4 separate regions of the Mus musculus genome follow, and regions 1, 2 and 3 are each reported to be linked to region 4. The links are microRNA targets in miRTarBase. Many come from high-throughput screens and were not tested one by one. Region 4 holds a microRNA gene; each other region holds the end of a gene's coding sequence.

Region 1 (7,683 bases), not on the chromosome of region 4:
ATTTACGTATGGATTTAATGTGGCGGTCATTAAGTTCCGGCACAGGCAAGCACCTGTAAAGCCATCACCACAACCGCAACAGTGAATGTGACCATCACCCCCATGTTCTTCATGTCCCCTGTCCCCTCCATCCTCCATTCTCAAGCACCTCTTGCTCTGCCTCTGTCGCTGGAGAACAGTGTGCATCTGCACACTCTTATGTCAGTGAAGTCACACAGCCTGCACCCCTTCCTGGTCTGAGTATTTGGGTTCTGACTCTGCTATCACACACTACTGTACTGCATTCTCTCGCTCTCTTTTTTTAAACATATTTTTATTTGTTTGTGTGTATGCACATGTGCCACATGTGTACAGATACTATGGAGGCCAGAAGAGGCCATGGCCGTCCCTGGAGCTGGAGTTACAGGCAGCGTGTGAGCTGCCTGGTGTGGGTGCTGGGAACCAAACTTGAATCTAAAGCAAGCACTTTTAACTGCTGAGGCAGCTCTCAGTACCCTTCTTCATTTCTCCGCCTGGGTTCCATTGTATGGACACATGTAGCTAGAATATCTTGCTTATCTAATTATGTACATTGTTTTGTGCTAAGAGAGAGTAATGCTCTATAGCCTGAGCTGGCCTCAACCTTGCCATCCTCCTGCCTCAGCCTCCTCCTCCTGAGTGCTAGGATGACAGGCGAGTGGTAACTTACATGGTTTCATGTTTTGTTCAAGACTGAAGGATAACATTCATACAGAGAAGGTCTGGGTCACAAAGTGTGCAGTTCACTGAATGGCACAACCCGTGATCAAGAAACAAAACTCAGGGGCTGGAGAGATGGCACTGACTGCTCTTCCAGAGGTCCGGAGTTCAATTCCCAGCAACCACATGGTGGCTCACAGCCATCTATAACGAGATCTGACGCCCTCTTCTGGTGTGTCTGAAGACAGCTACAGTGTACTCACATAAAATAAATAAATCTTTAAAACACACACACACACACAATTACCACCCCAGAAAGCCCACTCCATGTTCCCTCCCACGTCTCTGCCTACAGTACTCCCAGGTTACCACTGTTCAGGCTTCTAACAACCTGGTTTACTTGGGCCTCTTTTCTGCTCTGTGGAGCCACACATTTGTGTGCCTCATACACGTTCTTTCTAGTAAGTTGCATATTACTCTGCGTTTTTACATGTATTTATTTATTGTAGTTGTGTGTGCGTGTGGGCCCATGCATGGCACAGTGTGTGGGGATGTCAGAGTATTGTGAACAGGGGACAGTTCTTTTCTTCAATCATGTGGGTTCCAGAGGTTGAACTCAGGTCATCACGTGTGGCAGCAAATGCCTTTACCCACTGAGACATCTCCATATTCTTTTTTTTTCCCCTGAGGTGGGGGCTTGTTCCATAGCCCAAACTGGCTTTGCACTTGCAGTTCAAAGTGACTCCCTGTCTCCACCTCTTAGAGTATTGGAATTACGATGTGTACTACCACACCTGACTGGATCATTAATTCTTTGATGGGGGCGGGGAAGCGCACATGCTGCAGGTGAAGGGATGACTGGACTGGACATGAGCGTGGAAGCCAGAGAACAGCTTCAGTCTAATGCTCTCCCAACTGAGCTATTTCGGTTTGCCAGAGAACAACTTACAGAAAGTTCTCAGTGCCATGTGGATTCGGGGTTGGAGTTCAACTCATCAGCTTGACATTGGCTCCTCTACCCACTGAGCCTTCTCACTACTCTCTACCTAGATCATTAATTCTTTTTTAAAAAGACTTATTAGGGGGCTGGAGAGATGGCTCAGCCGTTAAGAGCACCGAATGCCCTTCCAGAGGTCCTGAGTTCAATTCCCAGCATGCCATTGCTGGGCAGTAGGGGGCGCAGGTGTTCAACGTGAGTAGCTGTTGCCAGTTTTCCGCGGTGGAGAACCTCTTGACACCCTGCTGTCCCTGGTCATTCTGGGTGGGTGCATGGTGATATGCTTGTTGTATGGAAGACTTTGACTGTTACAGTGAAGTTGGGCTTCCACAGTTACCACGTCTCCCCTGTTTCTTGCAGGCCGGGTGCTTGTCCATTGCCGCGAGGGCTACAGCCGCTCCCCAACGCTAGTTATCGCCTACCTCATGATGCGGCAGAAGATGGACGTCAAGTCTGCTCTGAGTACTGTGAGGCAGAATCGTGAGATCGGCCCCAACGATGGCTTCCTGGCCCAACTCTGCCAGCTCAATGACAGACTAGCCAAGGAGGGCAAGGTGAAACTCTAGGGTGCCCACAGCCTCTTTTGCAGAGGTCTGACTGGGAGGGCCCTGGCAGCCATGTTTAGGAAACACAGTATACCCACTCCCTGCACCACCAGACACGTGCCCACATCTGTCCCACTCTGGTCCTCGGGGGCCACTCCACCCTTAGGGAGCACATGAAGAAGCTCCCTAAGAAGTTCTGCTCCTTAGCCATCCTTTCCTGTAATTTATGTCTCTCCCTGAGGTGAGGTTCAGGTTTATGTCCCTGTCTGTGGCATAGATACATCTCAGTGACCCAGGGTGGGAGGGCTATCAGGGTGCATGGCCCGGGACACGGGCACTCTTCATGACCCCTCCCCCACCTGGGTTCTTCCTGTGTGGTCCAGAACCACGAGCCTGGTAAAGGAACTATGCAAACACAGGCCCTGACCTCCCCATGTCTGTTCCTGGTCCTCACAGCCCGACACGCCCTGCTGAGGCAGACGAATGACATTAAGTTCTGAAGCAGAGTGGAGATAGATTAGTGACTAGATTTCCAAAAAGAAGGAAAAAAAAGGCTGCATTTTAAAATTATTTCCTTAGAATTAAAGATACTACATAGGGGCCCTTGGGTAAGCAAATCCATTTTTCCCAGAGGCTATCTTGATTCTTTGGAATGTTTAAAGTGTGCCTTGCCAGAGAGCTTACGATCTATATCTGCTGCTTCAGAGCCTTCCCTGAGGATGGCTCTGTTCCTTTGCTTGTTAGAAGAGCGATGCCTTGGGCAGGGTTTCCCCCTTTTCAGAATACAGGGTGTAAAGTCCAGCCTATTACAAACAAACAAACAAACAAACAAACAAAGGACCTCCATTTGGAGAATTGCAAGGATTTTATCCTGAATTATAGTGTTGGTGAGTTCAAGTCATCACGCCAAGTGCTTGCCATCCTGGTTGCTATTCTAAGAATAATTAGGAGGAGGAACCTAGCCAATTGCAGCTCATGTCCGTGGGTGTGTGCACGGGTGCATATGTTGGAAGGGGTGCCTGTCCCCTTGGGGACAGAAGGAAAATGAAAGGCCCCTCTGCTCACCCTGGCCATTTACGGGAGGCTCTGCTGGTTCCACGGTGTCTGTGCAGGATCCTGAAACTGACTCGCTGGACAGAAACGAGACTTGGCGGCACCATGAGAATGGAGAGAGAGAGAGCAAAGAAAGAAACAGCCTTTAAAAGAACTTTCTAAGGGTGGTTTTTGAACCTCGCTGGACCTTGTATGTGTGCACATTTGCCAGAGATTGAACATAATCCTCTTGGGACTTCACGTTCTCATTATTTGTATGTCTCCGGGGTCACGCAGAGCCGTCAGCCACCACCCCAGCACCCGGCACATAGGCGTCTCATAAAAGCCCATTTTATGAGAACCAGAGCTGTTTGAGTACCCCGTGTATAGAGAGAGTTGTTGTCGTGGGGCACCCGGATCCCAGCAGCCTGGTTGCCTGCCTGTAGGATGTCTTACAGGAGTTTGCAGAGAAACCTTCCTTGGAGGGAAAGAAATATCAGGGATTTTTGTTGAATATTTCAAATTCAGCTTTAAGTGTAAGACTCAGCAGTGTTCATGGTTAAGGTAAGGAACATGCCTTTTCCAGAGCTGCTGCAAGAGGCAGGAGAAGCAGACCTGTCTTAGGATGTCACTCCCAGGGTAAAGACCTCTGATCACAGCAGGAGCAGAGCTGTGCAGCCTGGATGGTCATTGTCCCCTATTCTGTGTGACCACAGCAACCCTGGTCACATAGGGCTGGTCATCCTTTTTTTTTTTTTTTTTTTTTTTTTTTGGCCCAGAATGAAGTGACCATAGCCAAGTTGTGTACCTCAGTCTTTAGTTTCCAAGCGGCTCTCTTGCTCAATACAATGTGCATTTCAAAATAACACTGTAGAGTTGACAGAACTGGTTCATGTGTTATGAGAGAGGAAAAGAGAGGAAAGAACAAAACAAAACAAAACACCACAAACCAAAAACATCTGGGCTAGCCAGGCATGATTGCAATGTCTACAGGCCCAGTTCATGAGAGGCAGAGACAGGAAGACCGCCGAAAGGTCAAGGATAGCATGGTCTACGTATCGAGACTCCAGCCAGGGCTACGGTCCCAAGATCCTAGGTTTTGGATTTTGGGCTTTGGTTTTTGAGACAGGGTTTCTCTGTGTAGCCCTGGCTGTCCTGGAACTCGCTCTGTAGACCAGGCTGGCCTCAAACTTAGAGATCTGCCTGACTCTGCCTTTGAGGGCTGGGACGAATGCCACCACTGCCCAACTAAGATTCCATTAAAAAAAAAAAAAGTTCAAGATAATTAAGAGTTGCCAGCTCGTTAAAGCTAAGTAGAAGCAGTCTCAGGCCTGCTGCTTGAGGCTGTTCTTGGCTTGGACCTGAAATCTGCCCCCAACAGTGTCCAAGTGCACATGACTTTGAGCCATCTCCAGAGAAGGAAGTGAAAATTGTGGCTCCCCAGTCGATTGGGACACAGTCTCTCTTTGTCTAGGTAACACATGGTGACACATAGCATTGAACTCTCCACTCTGAGGGTGGGTTTCCCTCCCCCTGCCTCTTCTGGGTTGGTCACCCCATAGGACAGCCACAGGACAGTCACTAGCACCTACTGGAAACCTCTTTGTGGGAACATGAAGAAAGAGCCTTTGGGAGATTCCTGGCTTTCCATTAGGGCTGAAAGTACAACGGTTCTTGGTTGGCTTTGCCTCGTGTTTATAAAACTAGCTACTATTCTTCAGGTAAAATACCGATGTTGTGGAAAAGCCAACCCCGTGGCTGCCCGTGAGTAGGGGGTGGGGTTGGGAATCCTGGATAGTGTTCTATCCATGGAAAGTGGTGGAATAGGAATTAAGGGTGTTCCCCCCCCCCCCAACCTCTTCCTCAGACCCAGCCACTTTCTATGACTTATAAACATCCAGGTAAAAATTACAAACATAAAAATGGTTTCTCTTCTCAATCTTCTAAAGTCTGCCTGCCTTTTCCAGGGGTAGGTCTGTTTCTTTGCTGTTCTATTGTCTTGAGAGCACAGACTAACACTTACCAAATGAGGGAACTCTTGGCCCATACTAAGGCTCTTCTGGGCTCCAGCACTCTTAAGTTATTTTAAGAATTCTCACTTGGCCTTTAGCACACCCGCCACCCCCAAGTGGGTGTGGATAATGCCATGGCCAGCAGGGGGCACTGTTGAGGCGGGTGCCTTTCCACCTTAAGTTGCTTATAGTATTTAAGATGCTAAATGTTTTAATCAAGAGAAGCACTGATCTTATAATACGAGGATAAGAGATTTTCTCACAGGAAATTGTCTTTTTCATAATTCTTTTACAGGCTTTGTCCTGATCGTAGCATAGAGAGAATAGCTGGATATTTAACTTGTATTCCATTTTCCTCTGCCAGCGTTAGGTTAACTCCGTAAAAAGTGATTCAGTGGACCGAAGAGGCTCAGAGGGCAGGGGATGGTGGGGTGAGGCAGAGCACTGTCACCTGCCAGGCATGGGAGGTCCTGCCATCCGGGAGGAAAAGGAAAGTTTAGCCTCTAGTCTACCACCAGTGTTAACGCACTCTAAAGTTGTAACCAAAATAAATGTCTTACATTACAAAGACGTCTGTTTTGTGTTTCCTTTTGTGTGTTTGGGCTTTTTATGTGTGCTTTATAACTGCTGTGGTGGTGCTGTTGTTAGTTTTGAGGTAGGATCTCAGGCTGGCCTTGAACTTCTGATCGCCTGCCCCTGCCCCTGCCCCTGCCCCTGTCCCTGCCTCCAAGTGCTAGGACTAAAAGCACATGCCACCACACCAGTACAGCATTTTTCTAACATTTAAAAATAATCACCTAGGGGCTGGAGAGAGGGTTCCAGCTAAGAGTGCACACTGCTCTTGGGTAGGACCTGAGTTTAGTTCCCAGAACCTATACTGGGTGGCTCCAGGTCCAGAGGATCCAGGACCTCTGGCCTCCATGGGCATCTGCTCTTAGCACATACCCACATACAGATACACACATAAAAATAAAATGAAGCCTTTAAAAACCTCCTAAAACCTAGCCCTTGGAGGTACGACTCTGGAAAGCTGGCATACTGTGTAAGTCCATCTCATGGTGTTCTGGCTAACGTAAGACTTACAGAGACAGAAAAGAACTCAGGGTGTGCTGGGGGTTGGGATGGAGGAAGAGGGATGAGTAGGGGGAGCACGGGGAACTTGGGCAGTGAAAATTCTTTGCAGGACACTAGAGGAGGATAAATACCAGTCATTGCACCCACTACTGGACAACTCCAGGGAATTATGCTGGGTGAAAAGAGAAGGCCCCAGGTATTGGCTGCATTGGCTGCATTTGCGTAACATTTTTTTAAATTGAAAAGAAAAAGATGTAAATCAAGGTTAGATGAGTGGTTGCTGTGAGCTGAGAGCTGGGGTGAGTGAGACATGTGGACAACTCCATCAAAAAGCGACAGAAAGAACGGGCTGTGGTGACAGCTACCTCTAATCTCCACCTCCGGGAGGTGATCAAGGTTAGCCCTCAGCTAGCCTGTGGTGCATGAGACCCTGTTTCAAAAACTTTAATAAAGAAATAATGAAAAAAGACATCAGGGCAGATCCTTGGGGCCAAAGGCGGACAGGCGAGTCTCGTGGTAAGGTCGTGTAGAAGCGGATGCATGAGCACGTGCCGCAGGCATCATGAGAGAGCCCTAGGTAAGTAAGGATGGATGTGAGTGTGTCGGCGTCGGCGCACTGCACGTCCTGGCTGTGGTGCTGGACTGGCATCTTTGGTGAGCTGTGGAGGGGAAATGGGTAGGGAGATCATAAAATCCCTCCGAATTATTTCAAGAACTGTCTATTACAATTATCTCAAAATATTAAAAAAAAAGAAGAATTAAAAAACAAAAAACCTATCCAGGTGTGGTGGTGTGCACCTATAGCCACGGGCACTTGGAAAGCTGGAGCAAGAGGATGGCGAGTTTGAAGGTATCTGGGGCTGTACAGCAAGACCGTCGTCCCCAAACCAAACCAAACAGCAAACCCATTATGTCACACAAGAGTGTTTATAGTGAGCGGCCTCGCTGAGAGCATGGGGTGGGGGTGGGGGTGGGGGACAGAAATATCTAAACTGCAGTCAATAGGGATCCACTGAGACCCTGGGGCTTGACTGCAGCTTAACCTTGGGAAATGATAAGGGTTTTGTGTTGAGTAAAAGCATCGATTACTGACTTAACCTCAAATGAAGAAAAAGAAAAAAAGAAAACAACAAAAGCCAAACCAAGGGGCTGGTGAGATGGCTCAGTGGGTAAGAGCACCCGACTGCTCTTCCGAAGGTCCAGAGTTCAAATCCCAGCAACCACATGGTGGCTCACAACCATCTGTAACGAGATATGATGCCCTCTTCTGGTGTGTCTGAAGACAGCTACAGTGTACTTACATATAATAAATAAATCTTAAAAAAAAAAAAAAAAAAAAAAGCCA
Region 2 (7,683 bases), not on the chromosome of region 4:
CAACCAGGGTGTCTCCAGGGGGTCAGCTCCTGAGACAGGAATGGGAATGACAGAAGGACACGGCTGTCCATGTCTCACAGAACAATGGTCATGGGGAGACACCAGTGCCATGAGAGAAGAGGCTATAGGGAACAGCATGGCTGCTTACCTCAGGAGCTTTAGGGCTAAGGGAACACAACCCCTAGGATGCCTCTTCTTTCTTGGAGTCAGAGGCCTGAGCTGGGCCCTACCAGGGGGACATTCTTCCCATGTCCAGAGCTTATGGAAGACACCATATGCACATGTGTCCTTCCTGAGGTGCCACATTCACAGACACAAATGCCCTTTCCTTTGTAGGATGGAGGTAAAGGTCTCTGGCCTCCTGGCAGCATGGCAGCCTTCGCCACTAAGAACCCCGCTCTCCAGGGGCCACAGAGCAGGCTTCTTGCTGAGCAACAGGGGTGAGTGTTTGGGCTCTGACCCTTGGGGAGCCTGTGGGAGGAAACCTGTCCATGGTGCACATCATTGTAGCCTGTGGGTCTCTGAATTTGAGAGGAGAGGCTGCCCACTGTAGTAAACAGCACTCCAGGTAGACATGAGGAAGACTTTTTCTGACTCCCCGGTTGGCGTGAAACAGACAAGGGACCAGAGGCAGCATCCCAGAGCAGGAAGCCTCTCCTTGCCAAGTGACCTATGTAAGCCCTGCACTGCAATGGCCTCATGGGTGACTGAGAGTGCACACTGTGGGACTTCAGCCTGCTAAGCCCACATGTCAGGGAGTCAGCAGCCCCATATGGGCAGGTGTGAACCCGGCCCTGAAGGTTCACACTTGCTGCAAGGAGCAGAAGAGAGCAAACATTAGGATGGGGGTGTGAACTGAGCCCTGAGCACGTGACACTTTGGGACACTGGACACACACCATGTCATTCACAGGACCTCATGCCTCGGTGCTTACTGTGAGGCCCAGAGGGGATTCAGGCCTTCCTAGAGCTCACCTGCTCTGGCTATACACTAAGTGCCTAGGTTCAACATCTCTGCCCCTATTGTCCCGACAGGGAGTCATATGCACATTTGGAAGACAACAACGTGTCACCTCTCACTATAGAGGACCCTAATATAATTCGAGTTCCACCATCCGGGCCTGATACAACCCCAGCTGCCTCATCCGAATCCACAGAGCAACTTCCCAATGTTCAAGTAGAGGGACCAACTCCTAACAGACCTAGGAAGCAATTACCCAGCTTTGACTTCAATGGGCCCTACCTGGGGCCTCCCCAATCCCACTCTCTGCCTGATCTCCCAGACCAGCTGGGTTCCCCCCAGGTGGGTGGGAGCCTGAAGCCAGCACTGCCAGGCTCCTTGGAGTACATGTGTCTGCCCCCTGGAGGTCAAGCGCAACTGGTTCCATTGTCCCAGGTGATGGGGCAGGGCCAGGCTATGGATGTGCAGTGTGGGTCCAGCCTGGAGACCTCAGGGAGCCCTTCTGTGGAGCCAAAGGAGAACCCTCCAGTTGAGCTGAGCATGGAGGAACAGGAGGCACGGGACAACCCAGTGACTCTGCCCATAAGCTCTGGGGGCCCTGAGGGCAGTATGATGGCCTCTGATTATGTCACTCCTGGAGATCCGGTGCTCACTCTGCCCACAGGGCCCCTGTCTACCTCTCTGGGCCCCTCTCTAGGGTTGCCCTCAGCCCAAAGCCCCAGTCTCTGTCTTAAGCTGCCCAGGGTCCCCTCTGGAAGCCCAGCTCTAGGGCCACCAGGGTTTGAGGACTATGTGGAGCTGCCTCCAAGTGTGAGCCAGGCTGCCAAGTCCCCTCCAGGCCATCCTGCTCCTCCTGTGGCAAGCAGCCCCACAGTGATCCCAGGAGAGCCCAGGGAGGAAGTGGGCCCAGCATCCCCACATCCCGAAGGCCTCCTTGTTCTTCAGCAGGTTGGGGACTACTGCTTCCTCCCTGGCCTGGGACCTGGCTCCCTCTCACCACACAGTAAGCCACCCTCTCCAAGTCTGTGTTCTGAGACTGAGGACCTAGTCCAGGACTTGTCTGTCAAAAAGTTTCCCTATCAGCCCATGCCCCAGGCGCCAGCCATTCAGTTTTTCAAGTCCCTAAAGCATCAGGACTACCTGTCCCTGCCCCCTTGGGACAATAGCCAGTCTGGGAAGGTGTGCTGAGTCTGTCTCCTCCCAATCTCACCAGCAGCCTGGCACCGCAGCCTGTGGTCCTCAGCCTGAGCATCACCACAGAAGCCTCTCTGAGTTCACACTCCTCCTTGCTCCCAGCCCTGACATGGCAATACCCCACCTGTGCTTTTCTCTTCCCCCTCTGTCCCTCTTCCCCTCCCTCCATGCACCCCCATCTCTCTCTCTGCAGTTTTCTGCCTTCTATGGGAACTTCCTTCCTATTCCTCTGACCTGTTGGAGTGGGGATGAGGCCTGTGAGGGTATGGGCTGTTTAGGGTTTACAAACCTGTGAGGCCGGACGGTGGTGGCGCATTCCCTTAATCCCAGCACTCTGGAGGCAGAGGCAGGCAGATTTCTGAGTTTGAGTCCAGCCTGGTCTACAAAGTGAGTTCCAGGACAGCCAGGACTATACAGAGAACCCCTGTCTCGAGAAACCAAAAAGAAAAAAAAAAAAGAACTGCTGAGGTCGGCTTGTCCACCACAGGCATTGGTAATACAGCACATTTCTGGCTCTGTGTGAAAGGTGGGAGTCTCAGGTGAGCCCCTTGGGAGGTCAGACTGTACAATTGGGCAGGCTCTTGTCGCTACAAGAATAGACATGGTCCTCTATGGTTGTCTGAAACTCCTGGGGAGACCTGGGGAACCTTGTAGAGGGTACTTGGTACCCTCCTTATATACAGAAATCACTGATGTGCACAAAGCTGGACACAGCTATGGCCAGGCTGGAGGGATGAGAAGCAATGGGAAGGCTGTGTGTCTAGAACTCATGGTCTCAACTGCAGACAAGCTTAGTTGTGGATCCTGGACAGCACACCCAGATACTAAGTCTAGACAGCTGAGCTGTTCGTTAGTTCTCCCTCCAGAGCAAAGCCTGGATACCTGTGCTCCCACCGGCCTCAGATGAGGGTCTGCTGTGAGACTGTGGCCCTTGGCCATCACCACCCTCTTGACAATCCATGCACAATGCCATTACCTCATTCTGTTCTCACTGGAGTTGTTTGTTCATGGTCACGTTTGCACATGGCCTTTGTGTGTGTCTCGAGCATTGGCTTTTTGGGTGGTAGCGAGGAAGTAGACTTGGAAGTTGAGCTCATGAACAGTTTTGTGCTTCAGACTGTCTTTTTTGGATGAGACTGAATAGCTCTTCCCACATGGCCTCTTGTGGGCCACACGTGTCTCCCCTGAGTGTCCTAATTTTGTGCAGGAGGCACACCAGCTCTGTCAGCCATTGCGTGTCTGCATTGCTATGAGATGGGTTGCCGAGCCACACCTGTCTTTGGGTCCCTGTTTGCAGGGGTCTTTGCTGTAAGTGCACACGTGCCTTTGTTTATGTTCTTTCTGGTTCCTTCTGTGTCTAAAGCCTTGAGTGAGAGACTTGGAGTTTTCTAGAACACATGATCTCTCTACAGAGTTCAGTCTTGATGTGTTCTATGGACCTGGAGTCAATGGACATTGTATCATTTCTTCACCTATTTGTGCTCTGTCAGGCACTCCATGATCCACCAAGTCATGAACTGGATCTGGTCTGTCCTATCCCCTGGCCTCACTCACATGATGGCAGACATAGAATGTGGCAGATCAAATGTCCCTTGGTCTCTGTTCATTGCAGCAAAGAAAACCACTAACATCTTGAGTGTGTTGCAGTGGCAATGTTCAACATCAGCCTGTCAATACTTTCCAAAGTGACCACTCTAGAGAAACAAACAGGAGTGGCCTCCATGTTAAGATGTGAATGCCAAAGTGCCTTGCATAAGAGGAAATATTGTAATAAACATGTTTACATACAATAAAACAGCAAAACAAGGCAGTGTGTGTGTGTGTTTGTGTGTGTATGTGTGTGTGTGTGTGTGTGTGTGTGTGTGTGTTTATGTGTGTGTTGGAAGGTTGGGGATGGGGACAGTTCCAACCCATGGGTGCCTTGTCAAGTAACTGGGTTCCATAGACAGGGCACTTGATACGCAAGACCCTTGCACCCTCTCAGAGGCGAATAGGATGGGACATGGGGTGGGAGTGGGGACTTGTGGAGGAGGAACCAGAGGGAGAACAGCAATCAGAAGGTAAAGTGCACAAATAAATTAACTAATGGAAAAATAGAAATATAAATATTATTGAAGGCTTCAAAAGGAAATCATAATCACTTAGTTTCCTACAGAAAAGGCAAAGATCTACATTGGAAGAAAGACTAATGGTTCTAACACAACACCACTCTTCATGCAGAAGGATGAAATTCAATTCAGACCTTCCACTACATACAAAATAAATTCTAATTATATCAATTCTGAGGGCTGATGAACGCCACCCTCTCTGTGTCTTATTTGGGATCATGATGACTTGGGGAGACACAAATATTACACCATCCTTCGAGGTTAAGAACACCTAGCATGGTGTGTGTGTCATTGTGGAATGCACCACTGGGGAAGAGCTGGTGAGAACGTTATGAAATTTGAGTAACTGAAGCAGAAGAGGCTCAGACAGTCTTGAAGAATTTAATTCTTACCAAAACCATTTGCACACCACTGGCATTGCTTACGGAAACTTCAGACTTGGGAACAGGATAACAGATGTGCAAGGAAAAGTGAAACTGACTTTGATTTGGCCAAGCTATTGAACAATGGGGCAAAGGGGAAGGGCTTCTGTAGCAATACAAGACATTCTGGCTCCAGAACTCCTTGGGCAGTTTCAGTGTGGATCTGCTGCTCAGTGCTAGCATTGATGAACACTGTTTTCTGGCTGAAAGCCTTGGTGTCCTGGCTCTAAAAGGATCTCACCTAATTTGGGGTTGGGGGGAGGTTCATAGTTGAGATTCACCTTCTCTGTTGCAAGAATGTCAAACTCCCAGGCTCTAGGAGTGGTGACCTCACATGGTCCCAGAAGACACACTGATCTCCGGCAGAGTTGCCCTCCCAGTGTGGCAGGACAATGACTTCAGGAGCACAAAGGAACCTGATAAGGCCTAGGAATCAGCCAAGGGAGTGCTAGTGCTCAGACTGATAAAAAGCCTAGGCTCATTTGGGCAAGCATATTTTTAAGAGGCAGAAGGACTGGCCCATCACCTCCCAGAGTTTCCCGATTAGATTTAGAGGAAATAACATCACAACTCTAACACTCAACTCGAGAGTTCTAAATCAAGCAAGGGCTAAAGCCAGGATGCAGTTCCTTTAGAGGGTTGCTGGGATTCTCACAGAGCTCACGCTGGGTCACATGGGAGGGATCTGATGTTGGGTCATGTGGTCCCACCAATGCCAAAGACTCTGAAATGTCTCTGTGAGGAGAACCCTGGAGATGGGCAGGATCATTTCTCATGCCTTCCCCTTCCTCTTCACATGGGTGATTGTTGAATTTCAGGGAAAGGAAAAAGGAGACAAACAGAAAAAACTTAGGCACAGACTCATGCCTGATTAAAGTGCTGGAACAAGCAACCATTGTGTGCCCAGCCCTAAGCAGAGCAGGGATATCTACCCTCCAAGGCTAAGGAAACTCCATGGAAGAGGGAAGGAGAGTGTGTGCAAGGGCCGGGTGATGGGAGTAACTGCTGTGAAGCACTGACTTCTTGATATAACATGGCCATTACACTCATATTACACTCCGGTTATAAGGATAAGGCGTCCCTTGTCACGTTTCTATAAATCTTTAACTCTCAGCAATTGCCAAGAGGAACAATGCTATGTTCTTCTGCAGTGATGTTTTCATGTCCCCACAAAGAAATTCCACTCACACTCACATAAGCAGCCCTATTTAAACACGGTTCCTCAAACCCACAAAGCAAAGATTTGAAAACAGGAGGGCTACTCACCAGGAAGAACTGGAGGTTTAGCAGGTATTGGAAAGGTAATGAGAGACAATGGGGGGGGGGGCGGGGGACACAACCAAACTGTATCTTGTACATGTATGAAAGAATAATGAAGACATATAGAATTGATTGTTGTTACAGTAGACACGAGAGTGCAGAGATGCCTTCAGGGAACCTTGACTGGAATTGGCACAGAGCAGGACACGCAGCATGCTACATCTGTGGTTCCTAAGACAATAGTGTCCATGGTTGGAGATTTAGTCTTTTATCGTGTGGACTCCTACCTTCCTGTTATACACACTTACAGATAGAGTCAGGCCTTCCCATTCCAGGCTTACTATTGATTTCCTCCATTTCCAATGCTGCATCCACAGTTGTTTTGTAACAGAAGAAATAACCTATGTAAAAGTACAAAGCAAAGAAAATATGTCTATAGTTTACATTTTATTTTGGGTACTGTAATCTCCAAGGATAAACACATCCTTGCCATGGTGTCTCAGCGGTGAGCAGGGCTCCTGCTTTGCTAAAAGCTGACTTTCATCCTTTGCTCATTGTCAGGACCAAGAGGAGAAGATCATGGACCGTGGCCTTTGAACCTCTTCCCTAAGCCATGGGTGGAGACATGATCTGGGACTCTACCCTTTCTGCCCATGGATGCTTGGGCACTAAGAACAGCTTCTCAGGGACTGGGAGGGCTGGAGAGATGGCTCAGAGGTTAGGAGCACTTACTGCTCTTCCAAAGGTTCTGAGTTCAACTCCCAGCAACTACATGGTGGTTCACAACCATCTGTAGTGGGATCTGACGCCCTCTTCTGGTGTGTTTGGAGACAGCAACAGTGTACTCATAAATAAAATAATTCTTTAAAAAAAAAAAAGAAAAGAACAGCTTCTCTCAAAGTCTGACTGTTGCACTGTGTCTGCAACCTGAAAGACAGACAGAAAGCTGGCTGTCGGGAGTGTTCCTCCTATTCACCGAGAAGAGTACCAAATATCTAAAAGGTACACAATCCATGTGGTTTATGCTTAATCCCTAACCTCTCTGGGAGTCCGGCAAGTTGGTGTATCTAAGTAGAACGCACTCCTGGGACAAGCCAACAGTAAACTCTGGCATCCTGTTTTGTTATCTATGTTTTGCCCAAGCGAACATTTCACACATTCATGACAATGCATTACCAGAGAAAGACAGTCTATCCTGTGTGACTCTGTAAGAGAAGTCCCATGTGGGCTCATACCTCCTTGCCTCAGAAGCCCCCCTCCCCACTCATTCCTCTGTATTAGTCAATACTACTGCAGGTGTCAACTGTGCTGAGACCTGTATGTGGGGCTATAAATCGCAAGATGAAGCCCCCCAGCCTGGGAACCCCCTGGTGTCTCAGCACCTTCAGGAGCTTGGTCTTCTTCCAGAACATTCCATCTCTTGCTGTTCACCTCCTTGGCCTTATTTCATGCCACAGGACTTGGCAGCACGCCACACAGGGACTCCTCCTGTGGGAGAAATCACAGGGCCATCAGTTCAATTTGATGGAATTTGATACCAGGTTCTCTGTGTACAAGGCCTTGCTAGATTAATTGGTCCCTTTCAATAAGGCCATACTGAACATTTGTCAGTTTGTAATGAGGGGCTTGCCTGGCCTTATTTGTTTACAGATTTCGTTTTCAGATTATAAATGATATTTCTATTGTTCTGTGTGACTACATCATTGAGTGGTTCAGAAAGAGTTCAGTAGCATTGAAGT
Region 3 (7,683 bases), not on the chromosome of region 4:
CTCAGCCTGGTAACCCCAGCCAGGCGCCGCTTGCTCTGCCCACTCTGTCGTCAGCCCACCGTGCTGGCTTCAGGGCAGCCAGTCACTGACTTGCCTACAGACACTGCCATGCTGACCCTGCTCCGCCTAGAGCCCCACCATGTCATCCTAGAGGGCCACCAGCTCTGTCTCAAGGACCAGCCCAAGAGCCGCTACTTCCTGCGTCAGCCTCGGGTCTACACCCTGGACCTTGGCGCTGAGCCTGGGAGCCAGACTGGGCTCCCTCAGGACACAGCCCCTGACACCAGGCCGGTGCCCATCCCCAGTCACTACTCTCTCAGAGAGTGTGTCCGCAACCCTCACTTCCGGATCTTCGCCTATCTGATGGCTGTCATCCTCAGTGTCACCCTGCTGCTCATCTTCTCCATCTTTTGGACTAAGCAGTTCTTTTGGGGCATGGGGTGAGCACTCTGTGTTCCAGGACAAGGAACAGAGCCTTTCTCAGTGGTTGCTGGACCGAGGACTATTGCGAATCCTTTGGTGTTACCGTTCTTGCTCATTTTACAGCCCAGGGGTCTGCTAGGTCTATCTTGGAGAACAGAGACGGCCCAACAGGAAGAGAAGAGCTAAAGGACCAGGGACCTGATCATAAACTACGGGGTCATGGAGGGTAGAGAAGCAGTTCTATGGCTACATAGCAAGTTGTGCCAAAAGGGCTGGACAGCACCACCCAGACATCCAACTAGTTGAGAGAGCTCGGAGCCTCTTTCACTGGAGCAGTGTTGAGCTGTTTGTGTGTTGCTGATAATTCTGGAAAGTGTTTCAATTCTGTGGGCCCACGTGCTTGTCTCCCCTTTCAGCCTTTCCTGATTCTTGCCACAGTTTCCAGTAAAGCTAGCCTGCATTCTTTAAGTCATTGATTTTTTTTTTTTTTTTTCCTTACACAACCTTTACTGGGCAGACTGAGAAGGAAGAAAAGACAGAATGGTCCAGAGGTGGTAGGTGAACACCCTCAGGGGAAGGGAGGGTGTACAGGGTGACATCTTCAGATGGAGTGAAGAGATGAATGTAAAGGTGAAGGAAGCCAGGGTGACTGGGAAGAACTTGGGGTTGAGGTAACCGTCTCTATTCCTCCCGGGCAGTGCGTGCAGGACAGATGGAGCCTTGTTCCATAGTTCTGCCCTTATAAGCTAAGGCAGACTACCTGGGCAGAGGTGATTCAGCTGCCTTCTCAGGCTTGAGCAGTGTGGAGTGCAGGAAGTGACCTTGGGTTTCTCTTCATAGGACAGAACCTAAAATTAAGCCCAGCTAGCAGCTGCTTGACACTCTGCCACATAAATGTTGCCTCTTTGGTTCCGACATGTCCTGGCTTCCAACTTTGAAGCCATCTCAAAGTGTCTAAAACACAATTAGAAAAAGAGGTTTTTTTTTTTTTAAATTTATAGACTAAGCTGTCAGAGATCAGAACTTGAGTCAGTTTTATTTGCTCTAAAGAATATTTCCACAGAAGTATTATTTATTTATAACTTCCTTAGAGGCACAAAGGAGTAAGATATTATAAAATATATAAATTATATTTTGATTTAGTAAAACCAGACAGTTTTAAGCTCCGATGTGGAGATTTCTCCACTAGAAAACTGTAAAGGTACCCACATTTCCTCCTGAGACTATCACCTGTCTCCATTGACCTCATCAGGTAATTGCACTGATAGTGAACCTCACATTTCCTATCAACTTCACTTCTCTACACATTTTTGCTTACCTTTGTAGCAAGCACGTCTGGCAACATCTCTCTATATTCTATGAACTAAGAGGGACAGGGGCAGAGAAGAAATGGAAAAAGTCCAAGAAGGAATTTCTCCTCCTCCAGAGACCCTGGCCCAAGGAAGCAGATGCTGGAGCCGAGGCTCAGCCTAGGGTTAACCTTGGAGTCCCTTTCCTTCAGAATACAACTTACATTCTCAGGATGCCGGGGAGTACCAAAAACTAGTAGTTTGTTATACTGAACAGATTTTCTTTTCTTCTTCCTTCCTTTTTTTTTTTTTGAGACAGAGGGTTAGGATCTTAGCTCTTACTTAGCATTTGTTAGTTCTAACCTTGGGGCAGTGTTAGTCACCACAATACCTGTTAGAGACAGCTGGAGGGGAGGTTGATTGGGGCTCAAGGTTTCAGAGGGTACAGAGCACAGGGAGGAGCCTGTAGCAGATGCTCACCACACCAGAGCATACCAGGAAGCAGAGGGCAGCTGGAGATAGAAGCTGGGCTAAAAACTTCCGACAACCCTGTGTTGGTGACTTATTTGTACCAGCCAGGTCCTATGTCCTGAGGGTTTAATGGCACAACAGTGCCGGGATATTTCAGAATCAAATCCTAGCAAGCAGTCTCACCCACTTACATTGGCAGCACTTCCACTGGGTGTGCTTAGATTAGGGACGGAGGCCTGCAGCGGTGCCTAAGAAGTATCACCTATCCTAAGATTCAACTCTGCTAAGCTCCAAATCAAGACACAGGAGTGGGAAAAGTCCACTGTTCATAAAGTCAGTGATTTGTCCATGGCATCCACAGGCAGAGAGGTAAAAAGGCTGACCAGTCAGCAATCAGGCCACATGCCCGGTCCTGGTCTTGCCAATGGCCAACGTTCTCCATAAAGCACTGTGCAATCATTTCATACTGGTTCACATAGTTCCACTGCTTACAGCTGGGTAATTCAGCAGTTATTCAAGTCCACCCAGCAACCTTAAAAGAATGAATTCTCTTAATGTGCCTGATGCACCACTGAGGTAGGGTTAAATGACAGTGGTTCTGCCATTCAGAATCCACTATTTTCTTACAGTGGTTGAAGAAATGGATTACTTCCCCAGACACTTGCTCGGCCTAAGGCTTACATGGAACATTTCCAACTCGAATGCTCTCTTGGATCAACCGAAAATTAAGTTCCTAGTAAGGTTCAGACCAGAGAACTCAAATGTGCCAGATCCCGAATGCAGGGCTCTATGCCAGTCTCATCATTTTACAAACACTGTAAGATGTCAAGAAAATGGTAATTTCATAGAACAGGTTAAGGGTGGTTAAGTGCCAAGTGAAGGGAAGGCCTGAATGGCGTAACAGCCACATATACGGAATATACTTGGTTATGACTGGAATCACATGTTTAGCTGGGTGTGGTGAGCATACTTTTAACTTAGAAGGCAGAGGCAAGCGGATCTCTGAGTTTGAGGCCAGCCTGGTCTACAGTGAGTTCTAGGACAGCCTGGGCTTCACAGAGAAACCAGCCCCTCCCCAAATGTTTTGTTATATACCATATATTCATGATCTACAGAAGAGCAGGGCAGAACAGGAAGCCGATGGTGTGTAAACTTCCAATTCTGGAGAGGGAATTTCACACTATACACAACCTTCTCTGAAATTACTGCTCTGTGCGGATTTACCGTGCAGTTCTGGAGTGCAGCAAGGTGAAGCCAATCACTGACTGATGAGGAAGAACTATGGAACCCAGACACACCTGAAAACCTGGTGTTCTCCTGGGCCAACAACTCTACGTAAAGAAGCTGTTAGTGTCTGGATGTGACTGATGGCTTACACCTACAACTTACAGGACTTGAGATGCAGAGGCAGGAGGATTTTGACTCTGAGGCCAATCTGAGCTACACAGTAAGACCCTTTGTCACAAAAACCTGCTACTTCCTCCCCCCTCAAAAAACACCACAATAAACATCTGAATAAAGTAACAGAAAGTGGAACAATTCAGGCCTAGAATTACATTAGATCTCAAAACTAAAGAAGGGGATCTCTTTGGACAAATGGTTAGGTTCACAAAATGCTGAAATAGAAAATAATCCTTTCAAAGAGTTTTTATAGTAAGATTTTACTCTCAGCAAGTGTGTGTGTGTGTGTATGTATGTATGTGTGTGTGTATTTATATATAAAAGTTTATGTTTGGTAACACCCAAACATAAATTAGGATTTTTTCCAGTTCCTTTGACATGAAGTGTTCTTTAATACATAAGGTACACCCTTTAAATAACCAACAGGAAGGAGGCTGTACAACACAGACATCATGTTTGTTTTTAAAACCCCTTTGAATCTGGATACAATGGCCAGATTGTTTTGTCATGAAGGATATCAAACTTCAAAGCCAAAAGGAAGAGGCTCTAACTTGGCTCTAACAAGGCCAAGTGTGCAGTTCTGAGTCCCAGCTGCAGTGAACATCCTTCGTGAACACCACAGAAAGGGAAAATCTTTTTTACTGTGGAGCTATCACACAGCTGCAGTCTATGGCTCTGGTTTCATTCTCGGCGTCAGGAAAGGAGCTCGCCACAAATGGTGGTGACATGTCCTCATAACTGGGGAGATTTCAAATACAGTCCAGCTATCTTTTTTTTCTTTTTTCCTCGAGACAGGGTAGAGAAAAGGCTGTCCTTGAACTTGCTCTGTAGACCAGGCTGGCCTCAAACTCAAGAGATCTGCCCGCCTCTGCCTCCCAAGCTGGGATTAAAGGCATGCGCCACCACTGCCTAGCCAGTCCAGCTATCTTGCTTGCTGAATCACCCGTAGTCCCAAGCACATACCATGTTATAGAGAGCCAAGTTCAAGCACTAAAAATACAACTGCCAGGCACAGCAGCACATTTCCATAATGCCATCACTCGAAGGGCAGGACAGGAGGATTACTTACAATGTAAGGCTTCCGGGACAGTCAGGGATATACTTACAGATTCTGTCTCAAAATGCCAAATAAAAAAAACAAAAATGAAAGAACGGTCACAATCCTGAGTGTGAGGGAGGAGGCAGGGCACTGAAAAGTGTTGAGTCTATACAACATCTACAGTTTTTGGCAGAACCTGAGATGAGAATTTTGTTCTAACCACGAAGGGCTTGCTACCACCTAAAGACAGGCTTCCTCAAGAGTGGGCTGATGTGAAAATCCAATCCAACACATGGTATTTGGCAGGAAACATGATAGAACACAATACAATTCTTTTCCTTTGAGGAAATGGCTCCGTCGTGAGAACACAAGTTCTGAGTCCTTCCGTGGTCTGGCCTACTCTGCCATCCAGAGCTTGAAGGTTCTGTCATAGGAGCACGTGGCTATGAGCTGCCCATCAGAAGAAATGTCCAGGCCCATCACTTTGCCCTCATGACCAGCCAGGGTCTTCAGTGGGGACCAGCCTGGGTGGGTCCAGATCTTGGCTGTATTGTCATAGGCACCTGTGAGCAAGAAGTCCCCATGGATAGCTGCAGAAGACATAAAGCAAACATGAAGAACTCAAGTATTCAGAAAGAGCTTAAGAAAAAGAAAAAAGACAAAGACCCGACAAAACACATTATTTTGAAAGAAAGGTTATTTCTGATTTCAGATAAACTGAACTCATTCATTCTGCATTCCTAGGGGCCTCCAAGATAAGAGACGGTCATGAGCAGACTGAGGATAACCATGTAACAGATGAAGGCTGTGTGGCTGCCTTTTCCCAGGTGGATGGTCTGTTCAGTAACAGCAAGCATCTAGTTAGTGCCTGACATTCATGGAGGACAAAATGAAATGAAGCCTTCGCAGAACTCTTTGCTTCAAGAAGGCATGCTTTGCCATAGCGCTGTCTATAGGTATGGCAGAGGGAAGGAAGCTGAAATTTGCTTAACAAGGTTCCATGTCTAAGTTAGTCTAATGGCCAGGATGTATTCCATGAAGCAAAGGGTGTCTGGTGTTAAGGCTGAGAACAAGAGAAAAGCTTACGCTCAAATTTGACACCGGTCACTAAGTTCTGATGGGCGGGGATGGTGTAGACACAGCGTCGCTGCCGAAGGTCCCACACTTTGCAGGTGTTGTCACCACTGCCAGTGGCAATGTGGTAGCTGAGGATCAGACGTATCATAGTTAGGAACAGAGATTATTGTCTGGCCAGGACCCTTCCCATCCACTTAGTTTGCTTTACCCATTGGGGCTGAAATTTATCCCATAGATTTCCTTCAGGTGGCCTTCCAGGAACATAATGCAGCGTCCTGTGCGTAGGTCCCAAACCCGGCCAAATGCATCCAGTCCCCTGAGGAGATAACATCTGTATGAATACACGGAATCCAGTCTGACGAGGAAGTGGGGTTGCCTAAGAGGTGAGACCACTAAGCTGCCTGGTCTTGCTTTGTGGAGAAAGTCTTACCCAGTGCCAGCCAAAGAGCCATCTTGATGGAAGGCAATGTCATACACACCCATGCTGTGGCCTTCCTGGTGCAGGATCTCCTCTTGAGCCTCTAAATCCCATAAGCGCCATGAACGGTCATAACTTAAAAATAAATAAGAATAAATTTGCCAACTTACCAATAATTACACCAACGATCAACCAGCAGACGGAAGTGTCTACTATGACAAGGTACTATAAACAATCATAGTTCAGCTCAGGCTCCCGAAACTCTTCATTCAACCATACTAACAAGAAATGCCAGGCTGCGGAGATGGCTGAGCAGTGACCGCTCTTCCAGAAGTCCTGAGCACGATTCCCAGCAACCACCACACTGTGGCTCAAACCATCTATAATGAATCTGGTGCCCTCTTCTGGTGTGCAGCATATATGCACGTAGAACACTGTATACTAAAAAAAAAAAATAAATTCCCCCCCCCCCCCTCGAGACAGGGTTTCTCTATGTATCCCTTGCTATCCTAGAACTCACTCTGTAGACAAGGCTGGCCTCGAACTCAGAAACCCGCCTGTCTCTGCCTCCCAAGTGCTGGGATTAAAGGCGTGCACCACCACTACCTGGCTTAAATAAACAAATCTTAAAAAAACAAAAACAAAAACCCAAAAACCAAAAAACAAAGGTAAGAAAGAAAGAACGAACAAATGAATGAAAGGCCTTTCTGACATGAACAATGAACAATGCTTCACCACCAAGACTTTGTTTTAGGCGACAGCTGGGAGACCATGAACATTCTGTACTTTAGTGGCTGTTTTTTAAAAAAAGAATTCTGGGGGGTAGGGGTTGGGGCTCAATAGTAGGGAGGCCTTGCCTGGTGTGTGTAGGGCCCTGGGTTCAGCCCAGCAAAGATGGCACTGTCTTTCCCCCTTCATTCTGCCGCTGCACGCCTTGCCCTATCAGGCATTTGCATATTTACTGGAGTCTCAATTGAAATTAGGGCGTTAAAGAAAAATAAACACAGCAGATCTAGAAACAGACCCAAATGTGTACGATCAGAATGTTTTCATTAAAGGTGTTAAAGGAATTCTTAACAAAAATCTTAAATGAGGGTTGCAAACAGCTTTGGTGTTACAAATACAGAATAGATAAACTCAAGAAGGGCAAAGCAGCTAGAGACTGCACCAAAGACAAGCAAGATGTGTGAGTGTACGGGGAAACCACTCCAGTGCCACCACCATCAGGATAGGAACACCGACAGAAATATTACCACGTGCTTACAATGGGTAAAACAGAACGATCGGCAACAGCAAACACCAACACAGCTACGAACCAGAGTGGGCAGAGCTCAGATGTTTTTAAGACTCTATGCTGGGGAACAGGGTCTTACTCTGAAGCCCAGGCTGGCCTTAAACTTGAGATCTTTGTCTGAATGTTGGGACTGTGAGTGTGTAGCACTGAATCCAGCTTGCCCAAATACTTTCTTTACTTGTGGTTTTTTGAGACAGGGTTTCTCTGTATAACCCTGGCTGTCCTGGAACTCACTCTGTAGACCAGGCTGGCCTCAAACTCAGAAATCTGC
Region 4 (7,683 bases):
CCACAGGAGAGACTCAAAAGTAGTAGCACTTTCTATGTACAGTCCAGAAGTGTGCCCCACATTTGAGTCTCACCAAGATGAGCAAGCAAGGAGTCTCTGGTTGATTGAAGTTCCGATGCTTTCTCCACATGGCAACACACAAAAGGGAAGCACTTTCCACTTAAAAGCTTAGATAGGGCCTCCATTTTGAGTATGGCTATATGGAATTTCGCTAGATCCAAACATGCCTACAACTGAACTGAAGATTAAGGATTATTCAATGCCAAAAGGATAAATGCAGCTATATGTAATACAGTACCTGTCAAATCTGGGTCACTTCCCGTGAGGTTCCGTGCACCTCAGCTTTTACTTTTGCCCCATTACAGACTGAATCATACCCACAGATGACACCCAAATGATGCAACACTTAGGCCAACTGCAGTTTCTCAATCGGCAACACTACAAACTCTGCGGCACTTCTTACAAAGAACAAAATGTCACACAGTTTGAGTACCACAGATTGAAGCATTTCCACAGGGACCTGCTGTGGTAATAAACCTGAAACTTTATAGTCAGTTCTTAGCCAGACCAGCCAGCCAGGCAGGTTGAAGGCAAGTAAGTACCCCAGGCTAGGCAGGATTACATTCAACTCAACTGGAACACCTGAAAAACAAAGAGAATCCATGAAGATTATGCTTAGGGCACACAATGTAACACCTGTAATCCCAGCCCTCATGAGCCTGGGCTATTGTAAAGCCAAAAGGTATTATGGGTATTATCTACCCGGCTGTCCACCAAGCTTGTTTGTGCTAGGAGCCAGGTTAAAGTCAGCTACAGCCAGCAGGTCCTAAAAATTCAATCCAACCATATCAAGACTCACAACCATCAGTCCAACTACAGTAGTCAAGCAAGATATAGCAACTACAGTAGTCAAGCAAGATATATAGGATCTTTTAATCCCAGGTGGATGGAGCTGAGGCCAGGCTGGTCTACAAGTGAGTTAGCTCCAGGACAGCCAGGGCTACAGAGAAACCCTGTTTGGAGAAAAAGGAAAAAAATTGAAAGAGGACTTAATATGGCGGCCACGTGAGATTTAAAAGTAGGCCTTTCTTTACTCAGACCTGAGGCTTAGACTCACCACCCCTGGACCTGGAGTGCCTCCTTCCACCCTGCCCTGCTTCCTCCTCACCTCCAGCCTTGCAGCTCGAGTAGCCAGTGGCAACGAATTCACCTCCAGCACACATACCTGTTTCAAGCAGGTAAGCGATTCCAGGTTGCAGCTGCAGCCGGCTTTTCAGACGCCATGTACACACAGAGACAAACAAAATGGATGCACTTTCCCGCCAAGCCGCGGAGAGGGCCTCCACTTTGATCGACACTGTATGTTCCAACTTCCAAGACCTGAGGCTCAGCTCCTCCGAGCGAGGCCCATGTGGGATCCCGGCTCCTTTATGAACGCGGAAAGCCTTTAGTACCGCATGCGCCCAAGTGTTCGGACTCAAACCCACATGTGACACCCACCTGCCCAGAAATGCAACCCCAGTGAAAACATGACCCACTAAAACTTAATTCTTAGTTCTTAGCCGTTTTGAGTTCTCAACCGGTGACACTCAAAACCTGGCGGCACTTTTCTTCCGATGAAAATCCAAAAGAGCCCCCAGTTTGAGTATCACAGGCTGGAGGTCAAGCTTAAGAACAATCTACAATGCACCTGGACTCACGACTGCCTTACATCCATCCGCGTCTCGTGGCACCCAACTGAACCGCCCTCTTTAGGATAGGACCCATTAAACTCCAAGCCTAAACCCCCACACAGGTTGTCCGCTCCTGTAAACCGATGCGTCAGATGCAAAGCTATGATGTTTTCCCCATGCAGTGGCACACAAAGTGGAAGCACTTTCTCATTCAGGCTCAAGAGAGGGCCTCCACTTTGATGGCCGCTACATAGGTGTAACAGCTCCAAGCAGCGACAGGACGCACATGGAGCCCCCAGGTACCCTACAACGACCACCTCAGTTACCGTCTACTGGGCAGGATGCCCATCCCTAGCCTTTCGCTATACTCAGTCTCATTCCTTTCTTCGAATCCGTACTCACCACGCTGCAGTTAACCCGGAACACGTGGCACCAGGGCTGGTAAATGTGCCAGATAGCCGTTTTCTCAACCGGCGGGGCTTAAAACTAGGCGGCACTTTTTAAAGAAAAAAAAAAGTGCCCCCATAGTTTGAGTACCGCAAGATGAGGCGGTCCAGACGTTAAAACATTTACCAGGAGGAAAGAACGTGGAGAACTTAAAATTCACTCCAACCTGAAGGAAACCTGGATGAAATCAAGGAAGAGTTAGTACATCGGTCTAACTCAAGGTATAGTGAAACTCAAAATTTCTACAATGAAACCACGTAGTTAATGAAATGTACTGCATAGACTCCCTAGACCTGCCCTCAGTAACTCCTAGCTTTGGTTTCTGGTCCCCAAACTTCACTCGCGCCCAGACTACTCACTTTCCCCACATAGGCTCGTTCCTCCCTTGAAATTATGTAGACCAAGTCAGAAAAAAAAGCCCAACTCTTTTTCCACACACATTAGTTCTAAATGTCTTCTTTGGAGACCAGACCAACCTCAGATGGGCCTGCCTCTGCCTCGGGATTAGTAAACCCAGCCAAACCGTGGGGGCGAGCGAGGAAGGCTGAGTTCGCGGCTAGCCTGCCTTTTAAAAAAGGGGCTCTAGTTTTTAAAAAGTAGAATGAAGATGGCCGTGATGACCTTTAATCTGGAGGCAGAGAGGCAGGCAGAAATGAGAGTTAAAGGCCAGCCTGGCTAGTCATCTCCAAAGTTGAAGCAGGAAGATCTCTCTTCTGGAAATCCTGGATCTACTTTCGCCTCTCTAAACCAGGTAGATTAAAACCACAGAACTGAAGGAAATAAAAAATCTGAAACTAAAAATATTACCTTTGCCTATGTGAGAAGCAGCACGCCGGAGGTATCCCTGAAGACCGCAGAGACCAGCATTCCCGATGTGGAGTAGAAGTCTCTGAGAGGCGTGGGGGAGGCTCTAGGTTCTTATATAGTCTGAAGGCTCATTGGCCCCCTGGACTGGGAGGCTCTGATACCCCTCCCCCACCCCGGAGAATCCTTACTCTACCACCCTGCTTCCTCTGAGCTGAGTTTCCCTGCGGCAGAGTGACCTTCACTGGTTTCTTCTCCCCCCCACCCCCCAGAGGAAACAGATTTCTTTGTTTGTTTCTAGAAGCAGCGCCTTTAATCCTATAGTTTTCTAGGCCGAGGCTGGAGGATCTTTGTTAGTTCAAGGCCAGCTTGGTCTACTATGGTGACTAGGCACGGGACTAGGCAGGGCTACATTCAGTATTAAGATAATAATAAAAATAAATAAAGGAAGAATGTGGGAGGTTCAGTTTATTCTTTCGTTTGAATTTTTTTTAAATCCAGAGTTTCAAATCCTCCCTCTTTTTTACCTTTCTTTCTTTCTTTCTTTCTTTCTTTCTTTCTTTCTTTCTTTCTTTCTTTCTTTCTTTCTTTCTTTCTTTCTTTCTTTCTTTCTTTCCCACACTGAATATGAAGGTCCAAGAACAATATGATAGAGTTAGTTTTCTCCTATGCTTAAATATGTTTTTTTTGGGGGGGAGGGGGTTCAAGACAGGGTTTCTCTGTGTAGCCCTGGCTGTCCTGGAACTCACTCTGTAGACCAGGCTGGCCTTGAACTCAGAAATCCGCCTGCCTCTGCCTCCCAAATGCTGGGATTAAAGGCGTGTGCCACCATGCCCGGCTGTTTTTCTTTTGTTATTATTATTGTTGTTGTTATTATTATTTATTAAATATCTTTAAATAGCTCCATGGATTGAAATTAGGTCTCCAGGCGGCAGGGCTAAAGCTACAGAGGCATATTGCAGACTTGGAGTTTAGGGTTTGTTTGTTTGTTTGTTTGTTTTTTGGAGACAAGGCTCAAGTACGCCAAGCTGGCCATAAGCTCATTAAATAGCCAAGAATAATTTAGGACTCCTAAGTCTACACCTTGTGTGTGTGTGTGTGTGTGTGTGTGTGTGTGTGTGTGTGTGTAATGGAACATTTTTAAAAAATTAATTTAATTTTTAAAAATGTATTCACCCTACATCCTACTCACTGCCCCCCTCCAGGTCACCTCCTTCTACAATCCTTCCCCCAACCCCAGTCTTCTCCTCTGAGTCGCCCCCCCCCCCCCAGCACTTCCAGTCTGTGGGGCTAGGTGCTTCCTCTCCCACTGAGGCCAGACAAAGCAGCCCAGTTTGACCATCATAACTCCGGGACAGGCAACTGCTTTTGGGATAGCCTCTGCTCCAGCTGTTTAGGACTCACATGAAGGTCAAGCTACACCTCGGCTACATGTGAGCAAAGAGGCCTAGGTCCAGCCCATGTGTGTTCTTTGGTTAGTGGGGACTCATAAGTCTTTGTCTCCAATCTTCCAAGGGCTGGAATAGGCATATACCAGTATGCCCAGTTCAGTCATTAATTCCAGGCATATTTAATATACTTTAGATGTCTTGTTAATTGAACAAACAAGCCTCACCAGCAATTTGCTAGGTCTTAGGCTTGGGGAAGCAGATAGAGATATGGGTTTGGTCAAGTATAATGGCACATTCTTTTAATTCCAGCAATGGGTAGGCCAAGCAGCTACAAGTGAAACTGTGCCTCAAACAGCAGCAACAAGAAGGATAATTCTTTCTTTCTTTCTTTCTTTCTTTCTTTCTTTCTTTCTTTCTTTCTTTCTTTCTTTCTCTCTCTCTCTCTTTCTCTCTCTCTCTCTCTTCCTTCCTTCCTTCCTTCCTTCCTTTCTTTCTTTCTTTCTCTCTCTCTTCCTTCCTTTCTTTCTTTCTTCCTTTCTCTCTCTCTCTCTCTCTCTCTCTCTCTCTCTCTCTCTCTCTCTCTCTCTCTTTCTCTCTTTCTTTCTTTCTTTCTGACTGGATCTTTCTAGGCTAGGATGCCAGGAGCCTAGCCTGGGATGAGCTACTGATTTAGCTTCTCTTCAACTTTCCCAAGATGGCCTTGGCAACTCTGTTCCCTGTTCATACTGTGTTGAACATAACCAAGCAAAGTGCCCCACTAACTTAACCCTAAGAATTTTATTTATTATTTATTTATTTATTTATTTATTTATTCACTCACTCACTTCCTTACTTGCTTATTTCTTGTGACAGGATCTTGCTAGGCAAGAGAGGCCTGGAACTCACTATATAGACCAGGCTGGCCTCCAAGTCACAGAAATCCACGCATCTCTCTCTGCTTTCTCGAGTATGGGCTTGTACCAAGCTGGCCCACAGTGAGCGTTTTAAAATTATGTTTTGTTGGACATGGTGGCACACGCCTTTAATCCCAGCACTCAGGAGGCAGAGGCAGGCGGATTTGAGTTCCAGGACAGCCAGGGCTATACAGAGAAACCCTGCCTAAAAAAAAAAAAAAAAAAAAAAAAAGTTTTATTTTTGGTGTATGTTGCAGGGAGGGGCAGAGGTGAAATGGAAGCATATAGGTGTTAGACAGTAGCTTGTAGCACTGAGTTCTGTCTTACCTCTTGGGGTCCAGAGATTGCCTTCAGGTCTTTGAGTTTGGCAGTATACCTGTTTATACATTAATACAGCTCAAGGGCTCCATAAAGAACACTTTTGAAAGCACCTAGGGTTAAAAATGTAGAAGCATCTCTTAAGTCCTCCATAAGGCCTCCTTAGAGTTTACCTTTGACCCTTAGGCCTAGCAGGGAGCTCAGAAGTGGAGGGGCAAAGGTGGGGTGCCACTCTGGCTCCCCTTCTCCTCTTTATCATTGTCAGCTGCCTTCCAAGGTTCTGACAAAAACCTTTCTATGATGACACTAAGAAACAGCTGTTTTAGCCCGGTGTGGTGGCGCACACCTTTGATCCCAGCACTTAGAAGGCAGAGACAGGTGGATTTCAGATCGAGGCCAGCCTGGTCTACAGAGTGAGTTCCAGGACAGCCAGGGCTACACGGAGAAACCCTGTTTCGGGAAAAAAAAAAAAAAAAGACAGCTGGGGATATATGAAAATTAGCAAAAACATTGCTTTTATCAGCCCTGCCTTCAACCTTGGGCTTCCTTCCTTTCCTCTCATGCTGAGCTTCAGGGACCCCAGCAGAGATCTTGAGGTTTGTACTGCACCTAGGAAGTGAGGCACCAGGCGAGGTACCTGCTCCCAAGTCCTCCCAGGCTCAAATCCGAAGGGAGATGTATTTCATTCTCCCCAGCCAAAGGGACTGTTAACCTGCAAACTAGTTAGACTTCCTTCGTTACCTGGAGTCTGAATGGCACGGAGGCTGGCAGAATCATAGTCACAGGGCTGAGCTCATTGGCTTCAAACTCATGCCATGACCTCATAATCCCAGGCTGAGCTGCTTGGCCTCAAACTTGTCTACTACAGAAAAATCACCTGCTGTCTCTTTCCTAACACACACTGCTGGCTTTTCTTTTTCTTCTTATTATTAACACTACATTATATAAAGTGATTATATTTATTTTCTGTTCCTATGTGATTAGGGGGTCGCAGGTCAGTTTATTTACTTATCTTGACACACAGATTCTCTATTTAAGCCAGTCTGGGTTCAAACTCAGAAATCTGCATTCCTCTGCCTTCCAAGTGCTGTGATTAAAGGTGTCCACCAACAGACAGGGTACCTCTCTCTGTACAGCCCTGGCTATCCTGGGACTCTCAGACAGCTACTACTCAGTGTGGGGCTTTGAAATGACATTATTGGGTTGGGAGGCTGTGCACATGCTAAGGTGCTCTGGTAGAAATCACAGGGCAGCTGGCCTGAAGAAATTTCTCCTTCTCCTCTGTGGTCCGGGGGATGGAACTTACCTACTGACCCTCTCACCTGGTGTCACTTCTCCCACCCCATCTGTTTCTTTCTTCATAGTAGCATTAAGTTATTATGAGAGAAGGTACTGGAAATTTCACAGAACTGCGGGATGAGATTTGACAGCTGGTGAAGTAAGGACCCGGAAAAAGGAGAGTCATTTTACTTCTTTCAAAACTCCACTGGCTGGGGTGAAGGACAGTCATTTGCATGTCGGCAGCAAGGCTTTTATGGTAATGACCCAGTCCTCCCTCCCTTTGCCACCCAACCCTTGGCTTTGTTTACTAGGATTGAGCATTACAATAAGAATGCTTTCTTCTGTAAATTCCCCTCTGGGCTTGAAATCCTTTTAGGTTCAAAATTAATTGATGCAATTGGAGGGGCTGGTCAATCCCATCTTCATTCACAGTGACAAGGCTGGAGGATAGCCTTTAATAAAGGCATTAGATGGTAAACTGCCAGGTTATCCTTATTTTCTTCTGTGGAAGGTACTATAAAGAAAAGTGGAGAAAACCATTCTTTTGGGGGCTGGCATACCTGACCCAGGTTGCTTGGCTCAGCATCAGAATGTAAAATCATTATCAGGTTAAACTGTGTGCATCAGAACCAAGCCCTGTAGCACAAACACCTGTTCAAGTCCTTCATCGAGGAGGCCTGAGAGGCCTATTAGACAGCCAAGTTTGGGCTGCAATTCACTTTGTAGGACAAGCTGGCCTTGAACTCACAGCAATGGTTTCTGTCTCAGCTGCCCAGGTGTTGGAAAGACAAGTATGAGTTATCTTAATCTCCATGACATGTACACCCTGATATGTGATATCTGTCATGTGGTCATTTATACATTTGTCCTCCTGTC

What was found. Region 4 holds the annotated microRNA mmu-miR-290a-5p (ACUCAAACUAUGGGGGCACUUU, at 2,187-2,208, opposite strand). A microRNA usually pairs through its seed, bases 2 to 8, with sites in the 3' UTR of a target mRNA and lowers its output. Matches are read on the target gene's strand: a 7mer-m8 pairs with bases 2 to 8, a 7mer-A1 pairs with bases 2 to 7 and ends in A, and an 8mer does both.
Region 1: the mRNA of Dusp3 is a reported target of mmu-miR-290a-5p. Seed matches in the 3' UTR shown: 7mer-m8 at 3,622-3,628 and 7mer-A1 at 4,372-4,378.
Region 2: the mRNA of Csf2rb is a reported target of mmu-miR-290a-5p. Seed matches in the 3' UTR shown: 7mer-m8 at 2,517-2,523.
Region 3: miRTarBase lists Prpf4 as a target of mmu-miR-290a-5p. Seed matches in the 3' UTR shown: 7mer-A1 at 4,699-4,705, 7mer-m8 at 4,427-4,433 and 7mer-A1 at 3,746-3,752.

The regions. Positions count from the first base shown.
Region 1 is chr11:101,969,292-101,976,974 of GRCm38, reverse strand. It overlaps Dusp3 (dual specificity phosphatase 3 (vaccinia virus phosphatase VH1-related)), which reads left to right. Exons shown (of 3, transcript NM_028207.3): 3 at 2,036-5,832. The coding sequence ends at 2,241. Among named protein-coding and RNA genes, the nearest start is that of Sost, 6.1 kb to the right of the region's middle.
Region 2 is chr15:78,347,038-78,354,720 of GRCm38, forward strand. Csf2rb (colony stimulating factor 2 receptor, beta, low-affinity (granulocyte-macrophage)) reads left to right here. Exons shown (of 14, transcript NM_007780.4): 13 at 337-440; 14 at 1,035-3,964. The coding sequence ends at 2,148. Mir7676-2 (microRNA 7676-2) reads left to right here and starts at 1,562; the gene lies at 1,562-1,623.
Region 3 is chr4:62,420,748-62,428,430 of GRCm38, reverse strand. It overlaps Prpf4 (pre-mRNA processing factor 4), which reads right to left. Exons shown (of 14, transcript NM_027297.3): 11 at 6,131-6,253; 12 at 5,909-6,016; 13 at 5,710-5,828; 14 at 1,441-5,213. The coding sequence ends at 5,020. It overlaps Rnf183 (ring finger protein 183), which reads left to right. Exons shown (of 3, transcript NM_001379625.1): 3 at 1-891. The coding sequence ends at 444. Among named protein-coding and RNA genes, the nearest start is that of Gm30589, 9.9 kb to the left of the region's middle.
Region 4 is chr7:3,213,164-3,220,846 of GRCm38, reverse strand. It overlaps Mir290a (microRNA 290a), which reads right to left and starts at 2,221; the gene lies at 2,139-2,221. Mir290b (microRNA 290b) reads left to right here and starts at 2,152; the gene lies at 2,152-2,209. D7Ertd143e (DNA segment, Chr 7, ERATO Doi 143, expressed) reads right to left here and starts at 2,063. Exons shown (of 1, transcript NR_028425.1): 1 at 1-2,063. It overlaps Mir291a (microRNA 291a), which reads right to left and starts at 1,928; the gene lies at 1,847-1,928. It also overlaps Mir292, Mir292b, Mir291b, Mir293, Mir294 and Mir295, and 1 more gene. RefSeq lists a cis regulatory region at 5,245-7,683.